Linked DNA regions of Saccharomyces cerevisiae S288C. The protein of the gene in region 1 interacts with the protein of each later gene in a biochemical or structural test. Each region holds a gene or a part of one and is shown on either strand. Other genes may lie near its edges.

What was found.
Region 2: the proteins of TIF4631 (region 1) and PRP11 form a complex in vitro, tested with the Saccharomyces cerevisiae proteins (one study listed by BioGRID).

Annotation. Positions count from the first base shown.
Region 1 is NC_001139.9:822,160-827,417, reverse strand, and holds TIF4631 (translation initiation factor eIF4G), read right to left. Parts: upstream 3,360-5,258; coding exon 501-3,359; downstream 1-500. Other genes in the region: YGR161C-C (gag protein), read left to right, coding at 4,403-5,258. UniProt on the Saccharomyces cerevisiae protein: Component of the eIF4F complex, which interacts with the mRNA cap structure and serves as an initial point of assembly for the translation apparatus.
Region 2 is NC_001136.10:374,955-378,355, reverse strand, and holds PRP11 (spliceosome assembly protein PRP11), read left to right. Parts: upstream 1-1,875; coding exon 1,876-2,676; downstream 2,677-3,401. Other genes in the region: NAD-dependent histone deacetylase SIR2, read left to right, coding at 1-1,599; MTF2 (Mtf2p), read left to right, coding at 3,067-3,401. UniProt on the Saccharomyces cerevisiae protein: mRNA splicing factors, PRP9, PRP11, and PRP21, are necessary for addition of the U2 snRNP to the pre-mRNA in an early step of spliceosome assembly.

The DNA.
Region 1 (5,258 bases):
CGGTCCTTTCCTTTCGTGGCCTCTGTAAAAAAAAGGACAAATGGTGAAGCAGTAGCATGATTAAATCGAAATATGAAGTTAAAGCCGTCAGCTAATAAATGATATAAATATACAAAACTATACATATGCTGAGTGGTCTATTATATAAAACATATCGTAAACGAAGACTGGCGAAGCTATAAATAAAAATACAGAAAGGCATTGACATATAGAACAAGATAGGAAAAAAAAGCACAGTAAGAGGATTACCCATTAAAATGCATCAAACTTGTTTATAGCTTTTAGTGAAAAGAAATGAGCCCATTAATCGAGAAAATATAACAATGGTAAATTAGGGACACTTTTTTTTTCTTCTCCATGCATATATTTTCAATTAATAGCGCAGGATTAAACGTAAGATTAAATTTGTGTTGTACTATTAATTTATTATTTTATTAGACTTTCTACCAACATCCTTGTATCCAAGTGACATTTTCGATACTTAACATGATCTATTCATGTTACTCTTCGTCATCACTTTCTCCCATTAATGCACTGAACATATTTGTTGCGGTAGAAGTTGGTGCAGCTGGTTCTTCCTTTGGAGGAGGAGCCCTTTGGCTATTTCTTTGAGAATATGTTCTGGTTGTGATAAAGCTATCTTTTGATGCAGGAGGAGCGTCCCTTCTGAAAGAGTGTCTATTACTGGAGTTGTTCGTACGTCTTGAATTAGATCTTGAATTATTCTTCAATTGACGTTGTCTCTCCTCTTCCTCATGAATCTGTTGAATGGTCTTAGGACCGTTGTCCTTCTTATCACTGTTCCAGTTCTTGTCGTGCCTTAATTCTTTAATGTCGATCAACTTGAACTTGATTCTACTAGAAATCTTAGCAGTTTGAATAATATTGTCTAAAATACCGAACAAACTATCGAGCAATTGCGAACCCTCCAATGTTGCTTGACCCGTTCTGAAACTATCGGTCTCAAATTGTTCACCAACAGTATTTAACAATTCAACAACGGACTCTAGAGTTTCTTCAGATGGAGAATCCGTCAAATCCTTCATTAGTCTACGGAAACATTCGAACATCATCTTTCCAGTCAACAGATTCAGACGGTATAGGAAACCGATGAAACGAACCAAACCTAAACCTCTTCTCTTAGCAGAAGCAGCTGCATAGTACTCTTCTGACATCATCTCAGGTTCTAATGGAGTACCATCTTCGTTTGTGGGTAATTTATCGGTCCAACCCTTGTCAAATTCGGCATGACATCTAGCAACCAAGTAATGCAAAACCAATTTTGGACCTGTCTTACCTTCATTAGTTTCATCTGTTATATCTGGGTTTAATTCTTTAACTACTTTACCACATAATTGCGCGTACATAGAAGACCAATGGGGTTCGTCACAGGCCTTTAAGAAAATCTGTTCTATCACAGCCTTTAACGTTTCACCATTTGTTTCCCATACTGATATGTTTGCAATAGCCAAAATTTCAGATGAAATAGCATCGAACATTTCCAAAGTAAGTTTATTCAGTAGTGACTTCATCTTTCTTTCAACTTCATCCTTGTCCAATAGTTCGGTCTTTCCGTCAGGGGCTAGCTTCTTTTCAGTCTTTTTAGACTTGAATTTTGGCACCCACCTATTAGCACTTGGAACAAGTGGAGCAACTTCTTCCTTTGGTTTATCGTCCTCTCTTTTCTCTTCATTTCTGTAGGAGCCTCTCTCGCGGTCTCTTCTTGATGTATAAGATCTATTAGATCTCCTGTCGTCATTCATTCTCTTTGATCTTCTCTTTGATGAAGTTCTTGAATTAGCTCTGTCATCCATATTTCTCACTGAGGTATTTCTAAAGTCATGGCCACGACTAGAATTATTGCCGAATCTGCCAGAATCTCTAGATCTATTTCCTCTGCCCATTCCTGGTGGAATGACAATTTTAGAAGCAGTGCTTTGGACCCATTCGGCGTCCGCTTTGACGTTTAGTTTGTCCTTAAATTGAAGCAAGAAAGTTGGGCCATATGTATATTTGACGTGTTCTTTCTTGTATTTGATATCAGGACCTTCAATACCTTCTGGATAGTTAAAAGAAAAGACATCTTCAATTGGTGTAGCATCTTTCAATACATTCAATATGTGAGAAACGGTGTTTGTACCATCATCAGTTTCATCAGTTGTAGTTTCGATTTCAGCTTCAAGTCCAATCTTTGTTCCAGCATCACCTGCTTCAGCCTCAACTTCAGCTTCAGCTTCATCAGATTTAGTAGGGATAGCCGGAGTTGTTGCAGATTCATCAATGTTTGACTGTTCGGTTTCGGCGACCTCAGTTTCTTCTTTAACCTGTTCACTGGGAGGCACAGGAGCAGACTCGATGGCGCTCTTAGTCTCTTCCTGTACTGGCACTTCCTTGTTTTCCTTCCCCTCCGTTTTTTCTTCTCGTTCTTTTTGTTGTTTCTTCAACTTCAAACGTTCAGCAAAGGTTAACACCTTTGGAGTGGATTCTTCCTTTATTTGGCCCTTTTCTCCTTGTTCACCTTCTTCAGCTGGAGTTTCTTGCTTAACTTCTGGCTCAGCAGATTTTTCTTCAGCAGGCTTGGTTTTTTCGGTTACCTCAGGTTTGTCCGATCCCTTCTCTTCCACATTTTCTGGGGTAGTCTTCATTGGAATATTATTGTTGCCACTAGAACCTTCAAGTTGCTCCTTTCTCTTCTTTTCTAAAGCAGCTTTACGAAGTTTAACTTGCTCGATGAAATTTCTTCTTGTCTTTTCAGCTTCAGATATATTTTCTTCAGAACTGGCCTTAGAGTCATTAGTGGAAGGGGTAGGAGTTGGAGTAGAAGTAGAAGTAGAATCAGAAGTTTCTTTTAACTTTGACTCTGGTTGCGGAGACACAGTAGATCTTTCCTGAGACTGTAGCTTGGCTTTATGCTGTTCTTTCAAATCTAAGTGTTCACCAGACTTGGTAGTGATTTCTATCTTAGTTGGAACAGGTGACTTCTCTTCGACAGGAATTGGATTAGCAGGGGCACTACCAGCGGCCGCCATTTGCTGGGGCTGGTAGTAAACGGGGTAGTTATTATAGTAACCAGTCCATGGCACGTTTGAGCTGTTGGCTCCCATGTGTCCACCTCTGAAACTACCGCCACCATTATAGTTGCCACGGTTGTTATATCTGTTTGGTCCAAATTTACCACCTCTTTGCTGATGAGGTCTGTTGCTGTTGTAAGGCTTCTTTTGGGTATAGTTGCTACCATTGTTGTAGTTGGTGTAGCCACGTTGTTGCTGAGATTCCTGCTGGTCATCGCCTGTCTGTTTCAGAGCAGCAGATTCCTGCTTTGAAGCAGATTGTGTCGGGTGAGCAGTTTCGTCTGTCATTATTGTAATAGGTAATTACAGTTGTCCTCTTACCTTGCTTATTTATGAGCAAGAAGGAGTAAAGTAAGAAGCTTTAAGAAATTGAAGGGAAGAGGAAGAATCATAATTAAGTAAATTATCACAATATCAAGATTGGTAAAATTTCAAGCAACATATTGAAATTCCATCTACCATCCATCCGTTGCACACAGAGAACGCGGCATCGAAAATTTTTCTTGAAAAAAAAACTTTTGTCAGTGAAACAGTACGAGAAAAAAAAAAAATAAAAAAAAAGCTATAATTGAAAAAGGACGCACAAAAATACGGTGAAAAAGAAAAAAAAAATCGTTTCTCACGTCGTTATCGAGTCGCGATGAGGATAGCGCCCATCATATGATCATCCCATTACGATGGAAGTCTGCCATCATGATGTCCAAGAGGGTCCTTAAAGCTATTAGTAAGTAAAAAAAAACTGTTGTTCCAGAGATATTGAAAAAAGCCTTATTAATGTAATCTTCAAAAAATGATTTCGCCCAGGATCGAACTGGGGACGTTCTGCGTGTTAAGCAGATGCCATAACCGACTAGACCACGAAACCACTCTTATTGGAAGATTGATCCAATTAAAGGGGAATAGGTCACATGAAACGACGACAACTATGCTGGTTATTACCTAGAGGGATAATTGCAAGCTAGATCTTGAAACGAACAGAGGAAAAAAGCTAAAGTAGTAACAACAACCAATATATGTATATATGAAGAGAATGTGGATTTTGTTGGAATAAAAATCCACTATCGTCTATCAACTAATAGTTATATTATCAATATATTATCATATACGGTGTTAAGATGATGACATAAGTTATGAGAAGCTGTCATCGAAGTTAGAGGAAGCTGAAGTGCAAGGATTGATAATGTAATAGGATAATGAAACATATAAAACGGAATGAGGAATAATCGTAATATTAGTATGTAGAAATATAGATTCCATTTTGAGGATTCCTATATCCTCGAGGAGAACTTCTAGTATATTCTGTATACCTAATATTATAGCCTTTATCAACAATGGAATCCCAACAATTATCTAATTACCCACATATATCTCATGGTAGCGCCTGTGCTTCGGTTACTTCTAAGGAAGTCCACACAAATCAAGATCCGTTAGACGTTTCAGCTTCCAAAATTCAAGAATATGATAAGGCTTCCACTAAGGCTAACTCTCAACAGACAACAACACCTGCTTCATCAGCTGTTCCAGAGAACCCCCATCATGCCTCTCCTCAACCTGCTTCAGTACCACCTCCACAGAATGGGCCGTACCCACAGCAGTGCATGATGACCCAAAACCAAGCCAATCCATCTGGTTGGTCATTTTACGGACACCCATCTATGATTCCGTATACACCTTATCAAATGTCGCCTATGTACTTTCCACCTGGGCCACAATCACAGTTTCCGCAGTATCCATCATCAGTTGGAACGCCTCTGAGCACTCCATCACCTGAGTCAGGTAATACATTTACTGATTCATCCTCAGCGGACTCTGATATGACATCCACTAAAAAATATGTCAGACCACCACCAATGTTAACCTCACCTAATGACTTTCCAAATTGGGTTAAAACATACATCAAATTTTTACAAAACTCGAATCTCGGTGGTATTATTCCGACAGTAAACGGAAAACCCGTACGTCAGATCACTGATGATGAACTCACCTTCTTGTATAACACTTTTCAAATATTTGCTCCCTCTCAATTCCTACCTACCTGGGTCAAAGACATCCTATCCGTTGATTATACGGATATCATGAAAATTCTTTCCAAAAGTATTGAAAAAATGCAATCTGATACCCAAGAGGCAAACGACATTGTGACCCTGGCAAATTTGCAATATAATGGCAGTACACCTGCAGATGCAT
Region 2 (3,401 bases), on another chromosome or scaffold:
ATCAGAAAACAACCCGATGACATTATAAATAATGATGAACCTTCACATAAGAAGATAAAAGTAGCACAGCCGGATTCCTTGAGGGAAACCAACACAACAGATCCACTTGGGCACACTAAAGCTGCGCTCGGAGAAGTGGCATCGATGGAGCTCAAACCAACTAATGACATGGATCCCTTGGCAGTGTCAGCAGCTTCAGTAGTGTCAATGTCCAATGACGTTTTGAAACCAGAGACGCCCAAGGGGCCAATCATAATCAGTAAAAACCCATCAAATGGTATTTTCTATGGTCCCTCCTTCACTAAACGAGAGTCTCTCAATGCTCGAATGTTTCTGAAATACTATGGTGCACACAAATTTTTAGACACTTACCTCCCCGAGGATTTGAACTCGTTATACATTTACTATCTTATCAAGTTGCTAGGCTTTGAAGTTAAAGATCAAGCGCTTATCGGCACCATCAACAGTATTGTCCATATCAACTCGCAAGAGCGTGTTCAAGATTTGGGAAGTGCAATATCTGTCACAAATGTTGAAGACCCATTGGCAAAAAAGCAAACAGTTCGTCTAATCAAAGATTTGCAAAGAGCAATTAACAAAGTTCTATGTACAAGATTAAGATTATCCAATTTTTTCACTATTGATCATTTTATTCAAAAATTACATACCGCTAGAAAAATTTTGGTCCTGACTGGTGCAGGTGTTTCAACTTCATTAGGGATCCCGGACTTCAGATCTTCTGAGGGGTTCTATTCAAAGATCAAACATTTGGGGCTCGATGATCCCCAAGACGTTTTCAATTACAATATATTTATGCACGACCCCTCTGTTTTCTATAATATTGCCAATATGGTTTTACCTCCAGAAAAAATTTATTCTCCATTGCATAGTTTCATTAAGATGCTACAAATGAAAGGGAAATTATTGAGAAATTATACTCAAAACATTGATAATTTGGAATCTTATGCGGGAATAAGCACAGATAAACTGGTGCAGTGCCATGGCTCTTTTGCTACTGCCACCTGCGTTACCTGCCATTGGAACCTACCCGGTGAGAGGATATTTAATAAAATTAGAAACCTCGAACTTCCACTATGCCCGTACTGTTACAAAAAAAGAAGAGAATATTTCCCAGAGGGATATAATAATAAAGTAGGTGTTGCTGCATCACAGGGTTCAATGTCGGAAAGGCCTCCATATATCCTTAACTCATATGGCGTTCTCAAACCAGATATCACATTCTTTGGCGAAGCACTGCCAAATAAATTTCATAAGAGCATTCGCGAAGATATCTTAGAATGTGATTTGTTGATTTGCATTGGGACAAGTTTAAAAGTAGCGCCAGTGTCTGAAATCGTAAACATGGTTCCTTCCCACGTTCCCCAAGTCCTGATTAATCGTGATCCCGTCAAGCACGCAGAATTTGATTTATCTCTTTTGGGGTACTGTGATGACATTGCAGCTATGGTAGCCCAAAAATGTGGCTGGACGATTCCGCATAAGAAATGGAACGATTTGAAGAACAAGAACTTTAAATGCCAAGAGAAGGATAAGGGCGTGTATGTCGTTACATCAGATGAACATCCCAAAACCCTCTAAGTAGAAGGCAATTTAATAATTTAAAAGTGCCAAATTAATATCAATTTACATAGTATGGCAAACAATTTTGTTTTCCTTTCAATTATTGTAGTCAAATATTATTTACATTCTGCTATTTTCATTGTACCGGGTGAAATATTACATGTACCGCCCATCTCACTAAAAAAATGAAAAAAAAAAATCTGCTAAAGACGCAAGGCTCTCACAAATAGCTTAATGTAAGAAGGGCAGGTGGAACAGCAAATTCAAATCATTTAACGCATCCATACATTCAAAATGAACTATTTAGAAGGCGTTGGGTCAAAGAAAGGAGGTGGTGGTATAGCCTCAGAATCTCAGTTTAACTTACAACGAAGGAAAGAAGTCGAATCATTACTTAGTAAAGGCGAAAATGTCCCGTACACTTTCCAAGATGAAAAGGACGATCAAGTAAGGTCCAATCCGTACATTTACAAGAATCATTCCGGTAAACTGGTTTGTAAACTATGTAATACAATGCACATGTCGTGGTCCAGCGTTGAAAGGCATTTGGGTGGTAAAAAACATGGTTTAAATGTGTTAAGGCGTGGTATCAGTATAGAGAAAAGTTCTCTAGGGAGAGAAGGCCAAACAACTCATGATTTCCGACAACAACAAAAGATAATTGAAGCTAAGCAATCTTTAAAGAATAACGGTACGATCCCTGTTTGTAAAATAGCTACCGTGAAAAACCCGAAGAACGGTTCAGTAGGTTTGGCTATCCAGGTAAATTATAGCAGTGAAGTCAAAGAAAATAGTGTCGATAGCGATGATAAGGCTAAAGTCCCTCCTCTCATTAGGATTGTATCTGGTTTAGAGCTATCAGATACCAAACAGAAGGGAAAAAAATTTCTCGTTATTGCGTATGAACCCTTTGAAAATATTGCTATTGAGCTACCTCCAAACGAAATATTATTCAGCGAAAACAATGACATGGACAATAATAACGATGGAGTAGATGAATTAAATAAAAAGTGTACATTTTGGGATGCTATATCAAAACTTTATTACGTTCAATTTTTCTTTAAACAAGCCGAACAAGAACAAGCCGATGTATGACAGTATTATTTTTGGGTAACGTTAATAATCGGCATACAAAACTCTAACCAAATTGGATTATATAATAGCTATTAAGGAAACAATTGTCTTTACAAGAGTTTTTTTTACGAAATTTTCCCATCCAATGTGCACTTATTCTCAGGGAGTATAATAACCATATTCCTCTAAAATTATATTACTGCTCAACTTCCATGCGCTTTTGCGATCTAGAGTATTTATGTTACCATTTATCAACAGTATCTAGTACTCGCAGCATACATACGTATTTATTCAGAAAAATGTAATTAGGCGAACAAGGCCGAAAACTGTGATGTGACAACGCTTGCTATACTTGAGAGATAATTGTAAAGGAAGAAGAGGGAACTAAGGAAGAGTACAACACGCCATACAATGATCAGAACATCATCTATATTAAAAAACTGTAACTATAGATACATACATTGCATCCATAGATGCTTGCTGAATGAAGCCAATTTGAAAGATAGAAAAACTCACAACGTAGAAAGAGTTTCAAATGAAAAGACATTTGAACAAGCTCTCGAAGAGGAACGTAAGGTATTTGGAGAACTATTCGAAGCTGGAGCAAGGGTTGAAAACATGAGGCACACTAATGCTAGCAAAATAATTGACAAGTATTACAATGGGCTACAGGACAACTCCGAGGGAACTAGTGTAAAAAAAGAAAAAATTGTTTTTAACCACAGTCAAAGAGCTCAAAGGAAGCT